Linked DNA regions of Oryzias latipes. The protein of the gene in region 3 binds, or shares a complex with, the protein of the main gene of each other region. Links are inferred from orthologs where the notes say so. Each region holds a gene or a part of one and is shown on either strand. Other genes may lie near its edges.

What was found.
Region 1: arid2 (region 3) and SWI/SNF-related matrix-associated actin-dependent regulator of chromatin subfamily D member 2 share a complex: the UniProt entries of both Homo sapiens proteins name them as parts of the SWI/SNF-B (PBAF) chromatin remodeling complex. The link is inferred for Oryzias latipes from reciprocal best matches to the Homo sapiens genes ARID2 and SMARCD2.
Region 2: arid2 (region 3) and smarcc2 share a complex: the UniProt entries of both Homo sapiens proteins name them as parts of the SWI/SNF-B (PBAF) chromatin remodeling complex. The link is inferred for Oryzias latipes from reciprocal best matches to the Homo sapiens genes ARID2 and SMARCC2.

What each region holds. Positions count from the first base shown.
Region 1 is NC_019877.2:6,911,382-6,914,881, forward strand, and holds part of SWI/SNF-related matrix-associated actin-dependent regulator of chromatin subfamily D member 2, read right to left. Parts: intron 3,353-3,500; coding exon 3,191-3,352; intron 3,120-3,190; coding exon 3,022-3,119; intron 2,190-3,021; coding exon 2,054-2,189; intron 1,953-2,053; coding exon 1,830-1,952; intron 1,355-1,829; coding exon 1,253-1,354; intron 1,167-1,252; coding exon 1,113-1,166; 3' UTR 1-1,112. UniProt on the Homo sapiens protein: Involved in transcriptional activation and repression of select genes by chromatin remodeling (alteration of DNA-nucleosome topology).
Region 2 is NC_019863.2:4,295,166-4,302,546, forward strand, and holds part of smarcc2 (SWI/SNF complex subunit SMARCC2), read right to left. Parts: intron 5,784-7,381; coding exon 5,539-5,783; intron 5,313-5,538; coding exon 5,188-5,312; intron 4,886-5,187; coding exon 4,832-4,885; intron 3,192-4,831; coding exon of another isoform or gene 3,189-3,191; coding exon 3,151-3,188; intron 3,056-3,150; coding exon 2,925-3,055; intron 2,793-2,924; coding exon 2,721-2,792; intron 2,593-2,720; coding exon 2,479-2,592; intron 2,396-2,478; coding exon 2,242-2,395; intron 2,160-2,241; coding exon 2,043-2,159; intron 1,954-2,042; coding exon 1,891-1,953; intron 1,755-1,890; coding exon 1,496-1,754; intron 1,415-1,495; coding exon 1,101-1,414; intron 1,026-1,100; coding exon 905-1,025; intron 823-904; coding exon 659-822; intron 588-658; coding exon 453-587; intron 381-452; coding exon 23-380; intron 1-22. UniProt on the Homo sapiens protein: Involved in transcriptional activation and repression of select genes by chromatin remodeling (alteration of DNA-nucleosome topology).
Region 3 is NC_019881.2:4,001,167-4,008,547, reverse strand, and holds part of arid2 (AT-rich interactive domain-containing protein 2), read right to left. Parts: intron 7,030-7,381; coding exon 6,960-7,029; intron 6,544-6,959; coding exon 6,296-6,543; intron 5,965-6,295; coding exon 5,868-5,964; intron 5,790-5,867; coding exon 5,580-5,789; intron 5,507-5,579; coding exon 5,348-5,506; intron 1,890-5,347; coding exon 1,811-1,889; intron 1,732-1,810; coding exon 1,597-1,731; intron 1,487-1,596; coding exon 1,281-1,486; intron 392-1,280; coding exon 1-391. UniProt on the Homo sapiens protein: Involved in transcriptional activation and repression of select genes by chromatin remodeling (alteration of DNA-nucleosome topology). Required for the stability of the SWI/SNF chromatin remodeling complex SWI/SNF-B (PBAF).

The DNA.
Region 1 (3,500 bases), on a different chromosome or scaffold from region 3:
CTGAATTCCTATTTTACCGTCAACACCAGTCAAAGATCTGAGGCTTCAATTTACAACACTAGACATAGTTTATGATTTTTGTAATTAAAATCATTCACACCAAAAATCAATAACAGAATGTAAACTTTCAGAAAATACAAAAACAAAGAGTTGTCCATTATAAAATATACCTATTTTTTGTTGGACAATCTTGGCCCGACACAGAAAAGGTTTGATTTTTATAACAAACCCAGCCCCAACACACATAAAGACAAATATTGCAGAATTATTATTTGCATAAAAATATTTTTGAACATTTTTTTTTTAAACAAAAGACATTTCTGAAGCAAGTGTATTTAAAGTATGGCTAAATATTCAAATACAGGTGCATTGAATAATTATGGCTTTTAGAAAGTAAAAAAAAAAAAAAAAACACCCGTGAAGGACCACAGGATGGCAAGAACCAGTGCTTAAACATTTGTGTACCATTAAAAAAAAGGTTTTTACATTACAAGGCAGACATTACTTCAACCGGCTCAGTGTGGCGATGAAGAGCAAACAGATGCTTCCTGCACCGAGGAAGGTCCCCACCTACGTTTAAATAGACAAAAGGGAGACGGAAAAACTGGAAAAGTGCCGCCGGGGTTCATTTTATTTCAGATATGATGTTTGTTCTGAAGATTTTCCCTTTGATAACACCCTACTTTACAAGACAACAAGATAAATGAGGCTGAAATTGGAGAAGAGCGGTCTGGGGATTGAAAGGACTGTGACCCTTAGCTGAAGCAACAAAGAAATCTGCTGCAGGCTCAACGTGAGCACATGAGCATCGACAGAAAGGACTTTAATAGAGAGGAGGAGAAGTGATCATTGCACAAGCTTTAAGACACTGAAGAAAAAAATAAGGCTAGATAGACAGTGTACGACTCAATAACATGTGGACAGAACAGGCAAAAAACAGAAAAAAATGAAAGGTCAAAGGCGGTCTGCGGGAAACCTGGGATCATGGCTCGCAGAATCTATGTTTACTTAAAGACATAGAGCCGGGATTATCAATATTTTAAGGCGGACTGCTGCATACATCCGTTTCCGATGAGACGTGAGGCTGAAATCTGGTCGTCTGGAAGGCGTCTTCAGGTGAGTCGGATTCCCAACACCTGCTCCAACTCTTGTCTTCGCTGCTGCACCTTAAAAAAAAGAGAAAAAAAGCTCGTTTCAGTGCGTCTTTGGAATGTGAGCATCGGAAAACGCTTCGGCCTCTACCGTTACTCACTTTGGAGTAGACGTATCTACCCACTGCCTCTGGCATCCAGGGAGCCTCGTAGAACTCAGCCCTCCTCTCCTCCTCCGGGTTTCCGGTCACATCTGTCATCAGCTGAAGAACCAAAAAAAAAAAAATATGTCAGAAATATTTCATAAATAAGCTTCAGTCCGAATTCCCTCACTACTTGGTGCACTTTATAGGGCGTACGCCATTTTTTTTGGGTTGTCTAAATCAACATTTACAAAACACAAGTGCCCTGGAAATTTCCCAGATTGCCACTAGATTGGCAAATATAGACCACAATGCATTTCAAAGATTTGTCATTTGAATAAAACCTATTTCAATTTGTTTTTTTTTTACAATATCCACATTCATAAATAGTGCTTGTAAAATATTCATATTTCTTAGATTTTATTTTTGGCAAATGGGTGACGTCATATTTGCTGTCATTGATCATGTCAAGGTTACATTAAAATAGAACTGCAACATATGTAGAAAGCAGTGAGAGAATCCGGGTATAAGCCAGGAGAAACGCTTTAAGAAGGTAAAGAATTCTCCAGAAAAAGGTCAAAGGTGAGGACATTACCTTCAGATCTCTGCACTGAGACTTCAGCCAGTCCTGAATGAACTCCTGAGGACTGTTGCTGAAGCTCAGCATGAAGTCTCTCTCAGTCTTGAGTTGGTTAATATACTCGATTGTTTCATGAATCTGAAGTAAAAAAAAAGAAACAAATGAACACATTTTTACAATGAATGCTTACAACCAGCTGCAGCTGTAAAAAGCTTCTGCGGGAACTCCTGAGGCCACACCTTCATTTCTAGAGTGGCGATTTCCTGCTGGCTGTTGGCGGAGGACAGGAAGCTGTTCATCTGGGTTTTCAGAGGGTCGTCCACCTCCACGTCGATGTCATAGCAAGCGGTTTTCTTCTGGTCTGTGGGGTCCACACTGTGACACGGAAGAAAAGGGACTAATAGCTACTGGGAGGTTTCACGAAAAGGCTTCTAAAAACATCCCAGGCACGTCGTGTTTGTTGTGCATTTGTTGACAAAGCCAACGTTTGTGCTCACTGATAACGAAATCCAGTAAGTGTTTTCATTACAAACAGATTTACTTTGTTTCTGACTTTAGATCAAAAGCAGTATGAACTATATTTCACAGTTTTATGTTCTTCTCAGAGACAATTAAAGTCCATTTCTAGCTTTTCCAGAGCTTTACAAAAAACTCCACATATTGAAGAAGGAAATCCTTTTCACTGCAGAGGCAGATAGTAAGAGACAAATGATCCATGTCATGTTTTGAAATCTCTGGTCTGCATTTTAGTTCTCCATCCTATAAACAAAGTTATTTCAACAATAAAACTTTATGCTCAAGTTTTAAGAAGTCTTAGCATTTGCAACAAGCCAGAAATTAATAATGATTTCCAGTTTTAGGACAAATATTTGCTTCTTCCAATTATTCTACTCTTCGGTTAACCCCTAGAAGACTTCTCTTTAACCCCTTCATGCCTTACATAATTACCAATTCTACAAAAAAAGATATTCTTCAATGTTTTTTGGGTTCAAGGTGATGCCAAATTCAATGGAGTCTGGATTTAGTAATAAGTACTAACATACCCCATGAAGGGGTTAAAAGTGCTGCTGCCATTAAATAAATAATATTCCTTTTTCTATTCCTCATCATTTACTTTGGTTCTTAAATATATCACTGAACTTTTGATGTTTGTAGAGCTGCTCTTACACTCGCGCAGAGCGATGAAGAAAGAACAACCCCTCCCCACCTGATGATGTGATTGATGACGATGGGGTCAGGGTGCTGCAGCAGGCCCGCCAGCTTCATGGGAATCTCAGAGAACCTCATGCGTGGACAGTTAAAGATCTGAACAGGACACAGTAAATTAGAGCCAGGAGTCGGACTCTAATAGCCCCGCCCCCTCGCCAGAGTCTCACCTGTCTGAAGTAGCGGTTGCAGTTGATGAACTCCTTCTCGTGGCAGTCCTGCAGCTTGTTGTTCTTGATGTAAAGCCACAGGGCTTGCATGATGCTGGCCCGAGTCTGCGTGTGCACGCCCAGCAGACGGGCCAGACGGGGGTCCAGCTTGTACTGGGGGGGCTTATGGAGGGAAAAGGGGGGGTTAGCAAAAGGTCAACTAATCCTCAAAATACCTAAAGTCCTTTTTGATCTAGTTTCAAAGCGTTCCTAGAGGTTTTTTTGTTCTAATTTCAATCTAAAAGCCTGTGTCGTTTTCTAGGACATAGTT
Region 2 (7,381 bases), on a different chromosome or scaffold from region 3:
ACTGCTTTCATTCTGAACTCACCGTTGAGTGCAGGTGTAGTGCTGGAGTGGGCGGCTGGGACCTGACCAGGTGGGCAGGGCGGAGAGGTGTGGGCCCCTGGATGTGGTTGGGACTCAGGGGCCGCGGCTGCAGATGCTGGTGGTGCAGGACTAGGGGCTGCCTGCGGTGCTGGTGTGCTGGAAGCTTGCTGACTTGAAGTAATGTTTTGTGGAGGCTGGCCCGGGGCAGCCTGGTTGGTGTGGGGGCCCCCAGCTTGGCTGTGCTGCTGGTGCTGAATCTGCTGGAAGTGCTGCTGACGCGCTCTCATTTCTGCGTACTTCAGCTGCTCCATGTGGAAGGACTGGCGGTCGGCGAGCAGCTGCTGCCGCTGGTACTCCAGCTGCAAACAGAGGAAGAACACACTAAGACTGGGACTTCTTCAGTGATCTGATCTTCTGCCAGTCTGACTCACAGCCTCCCTCTCTCTGTCCATAATGGTTTCCAGTTCTTCAAAATGTCGTAGTTTAATCTCAAGCTTCTTCATTTGGGTCTCCACCAGCAGAGCCACCAAGGATTTGATCTTCCTCTCTTCCACTGCGGCTAAATGCTGGAAAATAGGTGATTAAGAATCAGATGTTGTAGAAGTGGCTGAAGGCGATGAAATGAAGTTCACTTCACCTTGGCTTTGACAGCAGCAGCTGCTAAAGCAGAGGCGGCAGCAGTCGCCAGGTTTCCTTCTCCTACATCCCGTTCCACTTTCGCCTTTCTTTCTCCATCACTCTCTCCTTCTCTTTGTCCCTCTTCTGTTTCCTCTTTTCTGTCTTTTTCCTTCTCCTCATTGCCTGGAAGAAAAAAAAATGGTTTTTATCTTTCAACTTGGAGAAAAACTCAGTTTTCTCCGTCCATGAAGAAATCGTTTCACACCTATTTCCGCCTCTGTCTTGTCTCCTTCCCTGTCTCCTTCAGCCTCTCTTCCTTTCTCTTCTTCCTTCTTCTCATTCTCTGTATGCTTCTCCTCTTCCACCATCGTTCCTTCTTTGCTGTCCTGTGTTGTGAACCAACCCAGATTAAGACATGCCTACCCAAATTGAATTCCACCACTTTAAACTATGCAACATACTTTGGCCTCTTTCTTCTCTTCATTTGACTGGTTGTCATTTTTGCTTTCATCGTTGCTTTCCTCTGAGGGGAAGACAAGTCCAGCAGTTAAATGTCGCTGCACTCGTAGGGTTTCTGTGTTGTGCAGTTTGAATGCAGTGGATTCAAACCTACCAGGACGCTCTCCTTCCTCCAAGCCAGTTCCTGCGATGCCGCTACCTTCCAAACCATAGAGCGGATCCTGTCGGCCACTGACCCTCGCCGCTTCCTCCACCCGCCGTACGTGGGCCTCAACAAGCGCAGCAGGAACTTCCTCCTTCATCCGAGAGAATTCCTCTGAAAGGGAGGAAGTTCATGCTTGTAAATGTGGAGAACGTTAGTCAAGCATCACCAGTGCATGTAGAATCAATGCGTCACCGAGAGCCGACTTGGCCGCAGCGGACGCCACACGTGGGTCAACAACAGAGGCGAGGAAGGCCACAGTGCTCATGACGGGGTTTCCTGCTTGGCTGAAGGGTACCGGCTGATAGGCCAGAGGGCCCATCGATGAGGAGCTGTCCTCCAAGTATGGATCTTCAATGGGCAGCCGCAGGAAGTGCAGAATGCACTCGTCCTGTGTACGGCTGCCCACGTGTTCAGACACTTTGTTCCAGTCATCCTTGTACATCTCCAAACCCTGACAGAAAGGAGGACGTGATTTAGCGCCATCTCAGCTGTCCTACTAGTAAAGAGTCATAACACAATGTCTCACAGTTTTAGCAGGAAAAAACAGGAAATCACAGCCACAACAATGAACGTGAGACATGTTTTACCTCAAGGAGTAGTAGCGTTTCTTGTTCTGTCCACTCCCTCATGGAACTCGCTGCACTCTTGCTCTTCACACAAACATTTGTTGTCAAAATTGATTCATAATGATAAATTAAACTGATTAACAGTGCAGGGATTGTTGTAGCTGGTTTGTTACCTTCACAGAGCAAGTTTTCTTGCTGTACATGTCAGTCCGCAGCCCAAAGTTCTGCAGGTCTGTTGGCTTCTCCTTCATTTTATCAGGAAAAGACATAATTGGCTGGGGGGCAGGAGTCTGCAGGAAAACCGGGACGGAAGGAAAAAGGTCAATCGGGGTCAGGTTTCATTTGCATGAGAATGTCTGAGGATACACACACCTGGGAGGTCTTGGGCTGCAGTGGAACTAAACTGGATGGGGTGTCCGCCAGGACATGGAAGTGAGAGGTGGGTGGGGGTCCCATCGGTGTGGGCCGACTTTCAGAGTCCACTTGGTAGTTGATCAGCCCCCATTGTTCCAAAAAGGCATGGACTCTGTAGAGCAAACAAACAAAGAAGTACTGACAGCCTGTTAGCTGCTAGATGTGAGAGGAGATGTAAACAGATGCTCCACTTACCTCATGATGGCGCACACATCTCCCGCCAAGTTCCTACGGCAGGCGGTGGAGGTCAGATACTCCTGAGGGTTTAGTCTGTAGGTGTCAATCATGAAGTTTCTGTACGCCAGATAACTGACAGAACGAGACAGAGGAAGAAAACGGAGATCATCCAAAACGACACAGTGCATCAATACAACAAAGGTGAAGAAATATAGTAATCTGTTACTTTCTTTAAGGAACAGTATCTATGCAGGACTTACATCTCAGGAGTTTTGGATTTGTTCTTCCCATTGAAAAACTCAGGAAGGGCTCTGCGCTCGATGGCATGAACACTGCATCACAGAGTTTATGAAGAGCTTTGAGTTCATGTCACTATTGTAACGCTCAACTGTTGCAACATTGTATACTGAATATGATCCTGAAGATCAACTCCTGCTAAATAAGTTGAAAAGGGTCATTTGTACCTGTTGTAGTCAAACCAGGCAGCATAGCTTGGTATGATGATGTGGTGCGTTTGTTCAGTCACGTTGTCCTCGTGAAGATCTGAACTCTTCACTGGCTCCCCCTTCACACTCGGAGAGCCTTCCTCCTCTTCCTGTTGGAACAAGAACACCCGAGCTCAAACAAACACGTCTTTTCTGAATGTTTGCGTCCATGTTTTAAAAGCGCCGCTGCTGGAGGTGACAATACCTTCCCTGTGGTTTCCATGGACTCGTCCTCTTGCTCATCTGCTTAATTCAGAGTCAGTGGGAAATCGTTACCATTCAACATCCAGAAACAGTTCTTAGAAAATGAAGGAGGCTACAAGGCTACAAACTGAGAGGATGTAGGAACGTCAAGATCAAACTGATAAGAACCACAAAGAAAAGTTTCTGTGTGTGGCAACAAACTTTGGAACAAGTTAAGTAATGAGCTCAAAAAATGTTCAAATATCCAAATATTCAAGAAAAGGTATGAAGAAACTCTGATTTCACAATATGAAAATAAGAAGATTTAAGGATCAACAGCTGTTTGAATAATTCTAAATACATGTGTGAACTTGATTGTGGTGAAATAATCAAAGCTCTTTTAATTACAACCACTGAGTTTTACATTGTAATGTGTAATAATGATTAATGAAACGTTTAAATTACAATCAATAACTATTGATTTTGTTTACTTGATCTGCAATGTGCAGCAATAATTAATGGTTTAATGTCATCATGTGTTCTAATAATAATCAATGGTTATCACATATTGGTTACCGATACTGTTTACTGATATAAATAAATGAATGTTTTCTGAAGATAATCAATCATTTTGTTACTTGAAAAGACTCTATCGGATCAGAACCGGATTACAAAAACTGTAAAATGAATTAACTCAGTAGGGGTGGGATTATATAGGTTTGCTTATTCCCGCTGCTTTTCCAGCAATAAATCAAGCTATACTTATACTTTAGTTAATGATCACTGTATTTAATTAAGCAAATGTGATTTAAGTGACATTTTTGTTTTGTTTTGTTTTGTTTTATTTTCTGTCTTTTTAATCTATGCATTTCAAAATTTCTGTAATGAGTTTAAAAAATATGTGCAAATTCTTTATTGCTTTGACTACAATGCTTGAAATCAATCAATAAATCAAATCAATTCAACAGAAGAACAGCTAGTAATAATAAAACAGTTCCAAGGGGTGTGTATTGGCTACAGCAGGGGTGTCAAAGTCATTTTCACTGAGGGCCACATCAGCATAGTGGCTGTCCTCAAAGGGCCAGATATAACTTAGACATGTAACTAAATGTACTGATAAATAAATGTAACTACTCCTTAATGTTAAATAACTCATTATTTATTTATTATAACTTTTTAAAGCGACAATTACAGTTGCATAGAAACATATGTGTGCTTGTTACTCTAGCATAAATCCTTTTACATTTGATTCTGTCAGGTTAGGTTATATGGACAGTGTTTAAGTCCTAATGTATAGTTGCCCAATCCCATATTTCCAGTCAGATTCCCCTTAGATATGAATAAATATACACCAATTTTTCATTTTTATTTTAAGAAATTAAAAATTCAGGTCTCATAACAACAAAACCTGAACATTTAACTTAAGCTAATTCTCACGAGATCTGTTTTGGTGCATTATAGAGCTGCTCAAAGAGGCTCAGTGGGCGGTGCTGCCAACTAGCGGTCGGGGGCCTAAGAGGAAAAGGAGTCAGACGCTGATGGACGCTCATAAACAACTAAATAAAAATCCTCTTGACAGTATTTTAAATCAATACAAGTATCGTCAAATGAATTGTTGCGATACATCAACAAATAGAATATATTTTTCTCAACACCCCACGCAGTTGCCAGACGAATGCGTCTGCCCCCTTTACTAGACTCACCCATGTCAGTTCCTCCCTTGACTGGAGTGGAATCTGAGTCTTTCTTGGTATTATCTGCACAGAAACAGAAGGTTTTCACTAAGTAAATAGGTCCAACTCCAGGGCTTCTTCAAAGAAATCACCAGCCCCTTCAACAGGAACATCCGTGCAGTCAAGTTCTGTCAGCTTTACCAACTGTCCCACAAACACAAGGTTAGGATTTATTCGCCTTTAAGTGAAAGCTACCAAGGTGACAATCCTCCCTTTGTTCATGTTTCACCAACAGTGACTGAGTGAACGGTTGTCAGAGTGAACAATAAGGTGTGTTTTCACAGTTCCATCTTATCTAAAGTGAACAGGGATGTAAATGTGCATACTTGTCTTTGCTGCATTCCCATCTTCAGACGGTGGAACAGGTGACGTTTCATCCAGGTCCTTGGACAGATCCTCCTGTTCCTCCTCTCTCTGGCCTCGTTTAGACTTGGTGTATGGGGTTGTTGGTCTATCAGCACATACATGAAGGACAGAAGGTTATTTTGATCTATATTATAGCACGGCTAAACCCTGCAGTGTGTGTCGGGACTGGAGAAGGGTTTCGGACGCTGAATGAGAAGAGGGCTTAAGACAGGATCAGCTTTATCAAATGCATTTTTCTGTCAACATCCTTCCTTGTTCTGCATCCTAATTTCAGAGGCAATGGCTTCATGCATCCGGAGATGTCTGCATACCCTTTTTTGGTGTTCTTCTTTTTGCTCTCCTGGGGTGGAGGGGTGGGGGAAGGCGATGGGGAGCGTTTTCGCTTCTTGGCACTGCTCGGTTTCTTGTCTCTCCGCTCATCAGGTGTGGTCACCTCATCCGTCAGGGTCTTGGCAGAGATCCTCTTCCTCTTAGGACAGCCCTCTCCAACCTCATAGTCCTCCTCGTTCATCCACTCGTTGTACTGGTCCAAATCTAAAATCCACTTTGCATGGACCTGACAAACAGGACATTGATGTCTTGTTAGCATGCATCTGAAGGCAATGCAACCACTAAAACCTTTACGTAAACTCCTCAATTGAATTGGTCTGGCAAAGAACACGAAATTCACTTCACTTCTGCCATTGATTCTGGCAGAAATGACTCCCACTGATTGTAAAATTGAATAGTAGTCGCACCTTTTAAGTGCATTATTCAGTCAAGATGCAGAGTGGACTTTGATTTTTTCTTTTTCCAACTGTTTTGACTCTTAGCTCAAAAAATTAAAAAAGGATAGAAATGTAAAGAGTGAAAAATACAAGAAAAAAGGATGATAACACAACATCACTTCTACTAATTCTAAAAGAAAAACACAATCTTTAATCTTAATTTTAGTCCAAACAAGTCACAAGAGTTCTGCATGGACTTACAGTCAAGTCAAGGTTTTACTGCCGTTTGCACATACAGAACATCAGAATTTTTCTTTGGTATCTCTCAAGTCAGGGTAAATATAGGAAGGGCAAAATTTTAAAAAGAAATAAGATAAGTAAAATTAGACAACAAAAGTACGAAACTGGTTCTGCAGTCAGTCACAAGTTTTCCTCCACAGTGTACTTATTTACGTTTTTGCACTTAAAACATGACACAAGTCTGTATTTTCATCATATTTTAAACTAAATGAGAAAAAACAATCCAGAAAATCACATTGTCTGTTGTTTAGAGAGTCAATTATTGTGGAAAATAAGTATTTGGTCAGTTACTAAAGTTCATGGCATTACTTTGTTAGCATTGACAGAAGTCAAACATCTTCTGCAAGTCTTGAAAAAGTTTTCCCACACTGTAGCTGCTGTTTAGGCCCGTTCCTCCATGCACATCTCCTCTAAACCTGTGACCTTTTGGGGTTGTTGCTGGATTTTCTAGATGTGGAGACTGGCAACAACATTTCAGAACCTTAAAATGCATTTTTCTGTAGGCACACTGGTGATGTGTTTGGGATCACTGCCATGCTGGAAGATCCAGCCAAGTTTCATCCTCAATGTTTTCACTGATTGAAGGAGAACTTCACTTTGAATCTCTCCATATTTACACTCACCGGCCACTTTATTAGATAAACCTTGCTGGTACCTGGTTGGACCCCCTTTTGCCCTCAGAACTACCTTAACCTTTGGTGGCATAGATTCAACAAGGTTCTGGAAACATTCCTCAGAGAGTTTGGTCCATGTTGACATGACAGCATCAGTTGCTGCAGATTTGTTGGCTGAACATCCATGATGCAGATCTCCTGTTCCGTTCCACCACATCCCAAAAGTTCTCTAATGGGTTCTGGTGAGTGTGGAGGCCGTTTGAGTCCAGAGAACTCACTATCATGTTCTAGAAACCAGTCTGATGATTCCAGCTTTATGACAAGCTGCCTTATCCTGCTGGAAGTAGCATCTGAAGATGGTTCTCTGTGGTCATAAAGGCATGGACATGGTCAGCAACAATACTCAGGTAGGCTGTGGTGTTGGAACCATGCTCAGTTGGTACTAAGGTACGCAAAGTGTGCCAAGAAAATATCCCCCACACCATGACACCCCCACCACCCTGACGCGTTGATAGAAGGCAGGATGGATCCAT
Region 3 (7,381 bases):
GGGGGGCACACACTTTGCACCTTGGCAGTGAGGATGTGGCCTTGGGGGAACGGCTGGAATAGCGTGACGGGCGTTCCGGCTGGTAGCATGGGGGAGTGCTGCTGTTGCGAGTTGGATGGAAGGGGGTTCTGGGGGCTGTGGTTCTGGGTGGCAGGGGGAGATGTTGGAATCTGGACCACCGGCCCTCCTTGCAGCTGCTGCTGAGCTGCCAGGGGGTTTGGTGTCAGCTGTTGGGGCAGATGCGTGGTAACAGGTGGGGGTGCCGGCTGCCGGACAACTGTCTGGTGGCTTGCTTGGGGGGGTTCGTGTGCAGTTAAAACAGTGGAGGGCGTGGCTGTGTTGGAGTTGAGGGTGGGGCCCGGTGCCCGGACAAAATGTGGGGGAGGTAAACCTAAAAAAACACAGAACAGAGTTTAGATGAAAAGAGAAACTTCCTGTCTGTGCGTGAAGACCCTTTTTTTTTTAAAAACGTTGCCGTCGGTTGTCGTCATGATTTATGGCTACAAAAACTGCCTGCAGGGAAAGAATCCAACAACACTGTCAGAAGAACAATCACTAATTTTTTTCTACAGTTTCAACTTGTTTTTTTCTTTAATCACAAAAGATCTTTGTAAAACTCCATCAAGAAGATCAAATGTGCGGCATTAACCGTATATGAGAACTGGACTCAGTGACTCCGCCCCCTGAAGTTCCAAACAGGAAGTACCCTCTGGCTCCAAGATGCCAAAATCCCATAGACGTCTATAGAGAAATAGACAGCTCCATTACCACACCATGGTCAAGGGGAATACTCGATTCTGATTGGCTGCTGGCTGTGCATTAGAAAGTGACAATGCACGCCTGCAAAAGTAGTTCCGGTCACATAGCTTGAATGTTCCGTATCACTGCGCCGGCTTCTTGAAAACAAACTTTAGCTTCATCCTCTGGACAAAAACAAGCAGAAAGAGGAGAACTTTCCCTCTGTCTATCTAACCCATCGTGACGACCAGCATATATATCGCCTTCCTTTGCCGCTGCAGTCGAGGTCGTTACCATGACGACACGATGCACCACGTATTAAATAGTCCGTTTTTGGGAAAAAGTGATTTCAACCGAAAAAAGAATAAAGTGCTAAAAAAAACAACGATTTATTTAATTTTTTTCTAAGTGACCATAGCGTACAGATTAACGCCCAGTTCTCTTATACAGTCAAATCTTTACAAACTCCATAACAGAATGTAAACACTGTGCTGTGGAGGTGTACCAATGGGTCAGCAGACTAAGGCAGTTGCCGGTCGTACCTGGAGGAGGGGCCTTAGCGTCTGCTGGCGCCTCATGTCGAGGCGCAGAAGGAGGAGTGGGAGGAGCCGGGTTCTGCTGCTGCTGATAGTATAACTGGACGGGCAGAGGGATGGCCCTCGGCCTGATCCCCACCAGCAGTATCTGGACCTGGCTGCCGGCTTTGGCCTCGTCCTGCCGCCGCATGGTGTGGTTGGGAAACACCGTCCTGCGACAGCCAGGATAAAGTCCGGTTATGGAGGACAGAGTCATTGCATTCATCGTCCTGCAGCTGAAGAATCTGATGGGATAAAGTCTGTGCTGATGCTGCAGACTCACCGCAGACACTTGAGGAAGCCGGTGGAGTTCAAGATATTGCTTCGTCCCATTTTGCTGCACGTGGATAAGTACTCAGAGTACATCTCTGACCGAGACACAGAGCCTTCAGAGTTGGTCTCGAAGTGTGCGTTTAACCTGTGAGGGAAGCAGAAACAGATGAGGGGGGAAAAAATAACAAACAAACAAATGAGTTATGAAAAATAAAGTATCTCACCACTGCAGCGTGAACTTCTCTCCATCCAGTTCAACGATCCCAGGAGGAGGTTGGGAGGACTGAACTGGGACCCTCGTTACTGACGGGACAGAAAGCATTCAGAGATTAATAAAAACTGGTTTTATTATCAAGCTGTAGAGGAAATGAGCGGCGACACATGCAGGTTCCTGGTTTCTCCACAAGAGGTCAGCAAACTCAGTTAAAGATCCACTGATGAAAATCCTGTTTTTGGTGTTTTCTAACACGTTTCTGATGATGAAGAACAACATATCAAGAAAATTAAATGAACAACTGCTTTTCTGAGCATCTCTTTATTGAAATTATTGTAAATCAGGAGCAGACCAAAAGAAATTGTTTGAAAAAGATTCTCTTGGTGACAGAGCTACAAACTCCCTGCTCCGCTCCATTCTGATAGCCCCGCTTTAATGGATAATAATTAAAAAGAGCACTGGGAAGGCTTTTACAATAAATCAAAGGACTTAAACTGTAATAATCCACATGTAAACGCAAATCCTATTAAAGGATTTCAACAGAACGTTTCCGTTTTGATGCAGTTTTGCAGCATCTGAGACTCAAACCCGCGGCTCCAGCTTCACAAAGACCACAGCGCAGAGCAAAAAAACTGTATGTTGGCAGACAAGTGTGTGAAAGAAGGCGTGTCTTCCCCTCTCAGGAACACAGCTCATGTTTACAACACAACCCAGCATGAGATCCAACAGCAGGAGAAGAAAACGCTGCACTAAAGTCCAGAAACCCAAAGACGTCCAGGAGGAGGTTCCCGTGCCGTGATGAAAGATCGCTATGCAGGACATTTGGAAGCGTGGTTCCCTGGATTTGTGCGAACGCTGAGCGCAGGAGAGGAGGAAGAGGAGCTGCGGGGGCACAGAACGGATCGATGGAGGAACGCCAGGCAGAAATCTGAATGAAGACGTTTCAACCACTGCTGTGTCAACCAGAGCAGCAATCTCTACAGCATGTGTTCCCTCTGCTCTCCAAAGTGGCACATTTGTGAATTCCCAGGACTAAAGTTTTTCCACTGCAGGAGATATTAGTGCCCAGAGACGTTCACTCACTCCTGAACATGCTGAGAAAAACATCAACTTATAAACCATACATCACATCTCAAAAAGCTTTACTTTCAGATGGACTTTAGGTTCATGTTTTTTATCTTTGGTAATTTAATCTGAAAGCAGTTAACGTCTTAAATAACTTGAATGAAAGCGCTTAGCTACTTTTATTTTTGTTTACACCACATTTGGACTAAATGGTGTCATTTATTATTAACAGGGACATAAGAATGTATTCACAGAATTATATATCTGATTTATAGCTTTATAGCTCTGGCTTTGTTTTAAAAAAAGTTATTTCCAATCGGTCTTCGAAGTACTTGAATTAGGGCTGCAGCTATCGATTCTTTTTGTAATCAATTAATCTAGCACAGGGGTCACCAACCCTGTGCCCGCGTGCGCCCATGCGCCCCCGAGCACCCCTTGTGGCGCCCGCAGGAAATGCACCAAAAAAATTTTTTTTTAATTGAAGCAAATATTCAACAATCAATCATGGGATGTCTGTCAATGACACCAATATCAACTCTGAGATAAAGGTAAACAAAAAAACAAATACGAAAACAAAAATAACCTTAACCTTTGTTTTGTAAAGGGTCCTTGGGTTCCTTGAAAGGCGCTTTAAATAAAATGGATTATTATTGATATTATTAATATGACTTAAAAAAATAAAAATAAGGGTCTATTACAAAAGTTTAAATAGATCAAATAAACTACACAATGTCTGGGCATTCTTATGATTCATGTAATGCAAAGATTTAGAGAATAGGTTGAGGTTGGGGGGGGGGGGGGGGGCTAGGAGGTATTTAGTAAACAGGTCCTGTGGCGCCCTTCATACCACTTAGTGCCCATGAAATAGCCCTCAGTCTCGAAAAGGTTGGTGACCCCTGATCTAGCACTTAATCGATCGATTAATCGAGTAATCGGATAAAACGATTTGTGTGTGTTTTTGAACAACCAAAACAAATCTTGCATAACAAAAATGATGTGGTTGTAAAATGAACAAGCATTTGATTTTAAAGATCCGCTATGATGCAAATGTTACTTTTGGTGTTTTTAAGTTGGTCTTGAGAAGTGGCGGAGCTAGAACATTTTGTATGGGGGGGGGACAGAAGACTTTGAAAGGGTGGCACAACACCAAAATGGAAGGCCATTAGAAATAAAAGAATCAGAAAAACATATTTGATCATTATCATTGTTTATGTTTCGTGTAAAAATAATGCTTTTGTTATTTTTGCAATACTTAAAGAAGCCTCGCGGTCCACCGAAAGGCGAGCTACCGCCTGTCCCAGCCCCTGCCTCTCAGCGCCCCCTCCGCGGCCCGCGCTGGTCGCCGCGGAGCGGCTGACGCCGCTTCTCGCTCGCTGCTGGCGGCACGCGCGGGTATGCCAGCTCTATTTCTGCCGTTTATTTATAGATCTATTCTCCTGGGGAGCCGGTTTAACTCGTGCTGGTTTGCGGCGCCTTCCATCCGTGAAACCACGGTTCGACTCCGGGCTGCTCCCTGTTCCCTTCTCTACCTCTGCCGGTTCCAAGCCCGGTTTGAGAAGGTTGCGTCAGGAAGGGCATCCGGCGTAAAACATTGCCAAATCTATCATGCGACTCGTTCGCTGTGGCGACCCCAGATGGGAGAAGCCGAAAGTGGAAGAAGATTTATAGATCTATTCTCCGCCATCGCGCCAACTAAATTCAAAAGGTCCGTGAGAATAAACGGTCAAATGAAATCCCTGCGCCGCGCGAATAGTGCGCGTCATGGGAATTTAACGAGGCTTCGAGGCAGAGTTTTTGCCTCGAGGAATTTTTGTAATCGAGTAACTCGAATAACTCGAGGAATCGTTTCAGCCCTAACTTGAATTATTCCATTTTCCTCCCGTTTACAGCAATTTTGAATGAGAGGGCAAAGATCCTGTGGGACTTCCAGATCCAGACTGGTAGGATGGTAATGGCGAACCAACAGACATTGTAGCGGTGGACAAAAAACAGAGGAAAGCCGTTGTGGTGGATGTGGCAGTGCCAAGTGATGGGAACATCAGGAAGAAGGAACATGAGAAACTGGAGAAATACCAGGGACTCAGAGAAGAACTGGAGAAAGCATGGAAAGTGAAGGTGACAGTGGTGCCTGTGGTAATTGGAGCACTCAGGGCAGTAACCCCCAAGCTGGAGGAGTGGCTACAACAGATACCTGGAAACCATCCGCGGAAGAATTCATTAGATTTTAACCTCTGAATTGTGGACGGGTCCACTGGCACGGAAGTAAGCCTCGGCTTATTTCCCATCATCTCTTTGTTTACACTCTCTCCCACTGGCTTACAGCTCTCACAACAACAACAAAACTGTTTTTGAGCAAACACTGCATCTTTACAAACATAAAACCCAAACAGTCCAGATGTACAGAGGCGTTTGCCCCTGAATCCGCCCCCAGGGAGCCCCAAGGGGGGAAAATGGCGTGTTTCTGAAACGCCAAAGTGCTCACCTGCTGCTGCCGGCGCCGATGCGGGGACCTGCTCCACCAGCTGTGGCCGCACCTCCGACACCTGCTCAGCATTCGCCTGATGCTCGATTAAACGCACCGCCGTCAACGCGTCGGGTCCGAACGTGTGCAGGTCCACGGACACTAGCCGCACCAGGAGGTCTGGGCGAATGAAACGAGACGTTGACAAACGGACCAGTCTGCTTCTGCTGCTGGGACCGGTTCTGGTTCATACCTATGCTGTGGTCAACGGAGGCGATCTTACTGCAGGACACCTCTCCGAGCTGAGCCAGCAGGTACAGCACCTCCAAGGAGGCCATGAGGAGCATGAGGTCGGGCAGGGTGAGGAGCATCATCACCTCCCTGTACGACTCCTGGTCCACATACTCGCAGATCAACACGCTGTTGTCGTCCGCTTTGCTGAGGTTCCCCAGGATCTCCATGGCTGAGGGACACACGGAGCAGGGGGGGGGGGTCAGCTCAATCTGACATAGAGGAGCCCAGGAGCAGGGAGGAGACTCACCCCTCATCTTCAGGAAGCGGTCTCTGGACATCAGGCATTTGGTGATGGTGTGAAAGATCAGGTGCGTCGTCCGAAAGTCAACGGGGTCGAGCTGGAGCTGCAGCGAGAGAACCGCATGTTCAAACCCCCCGCACACAAACAGAGGGGAGCGTCCAGCATCCGAGGCTGAAGCTGGCGTCTGATGTTTTAGCTTCCACTTTGACAGTCGAGAGAAAATCTAAAATCACATTTGAACGGTTCCAACAGGAAATCTAGAAACCAAGGTTAAAGACGCTACAGAGGAGGGAGACCATCTCTACCCTCAAAAGTTAAAGAAAACTGGAAACTTTAAATCAACGGAGACGCCAACTTCATTCTCGGACCGAGCGGTCCATGAAAATCCTGTCCGACATTAAACTGGTGAGAGCGCTGACGTTCGAGCGCCGTACCTCGGCCGCCACGTTGCCCAGCGTGTCGAGTCCGAGCTGTCTTAGTGAGATGAGGTTACAGTGGGCGCAGAGCAAAAGGAAGCGCAGGCACGTTCGGTTGGCCGCCAGCAGCTTGACGTTGGCCTCCTCGAAGGAGAGGTTTCGCAGGATGACGGCGACCTGCAGCACCCGCTGGGCCTCCATGTCGCTGATGCCCTGGTTTCGCGGCGGGTGGAAGAGGCTCTGCCAGCGATCTCCACACGTGCCGTCTGCGCAGACAACACAGGGGGAGGGCCTTCAGAGCCGCCAGGGGTTTGGACTTGCACAGACACTGACGCACAGCCTCCTCCAGATGTGTGTGTGTGTGTGTGTGACAGTACTAAAACATCTGCACATCTGTCCCAGTCATGAATCACTCCTGTTCAATTCTTTGCACATTTTTACTTGAATCTTCATCTCATTTGGTTAAGAAAACTTATCTGGCAGTTTTAAATAAACAAAAGTGAATTTTTTCATTCTTACTTTTTAACATCCAAAACTTGAGACAAGAAAAACAGCTTTAAAAGTTAATGGATTTATGGATTTCACATCAACCAAGTCTAGAGTCATGTGAACCCAGCCGGGTCAAACAAACATTCGATGACAGCTCGTCAAACACCCGTGTGCCTCCGGGCCACGCCCTCACCTTGGGTCAGGCCGCTTTTGTCCCAGATCAGCTCCCGGACTTCAGTGTCTTCCACCACTTCCCTCCAGAACTGTAAGGAAGTAGAACAGCAGCTCACACCTGTTTCCTCGTGAAAAGATGTAGCCTACATTTCCCAGGATGCACTTTGAAGGAAGTCAGGAACTCAGGAGTCCCAACGAGGTAAAGGGAGCGGGAAGCGCGCCGAGTTTAGTTTTTGGACTTTCCTGAAGTCCTTCAGGTACAATAAACAGCGGCGTTTCTGAAGTTTCTGCATCTACAGGGCTTGCCGAAACGTCACTGAAATGGCGAGCAGCGTTGTATGGCCCCGCCTACGCCCTCGCCGCCCCCGTTTAACCCAGGCATACAGGCTGCACACCCCTCATCCTCCCACCCTGATCAGAGCTGCAGGTGACAAAAGAAAC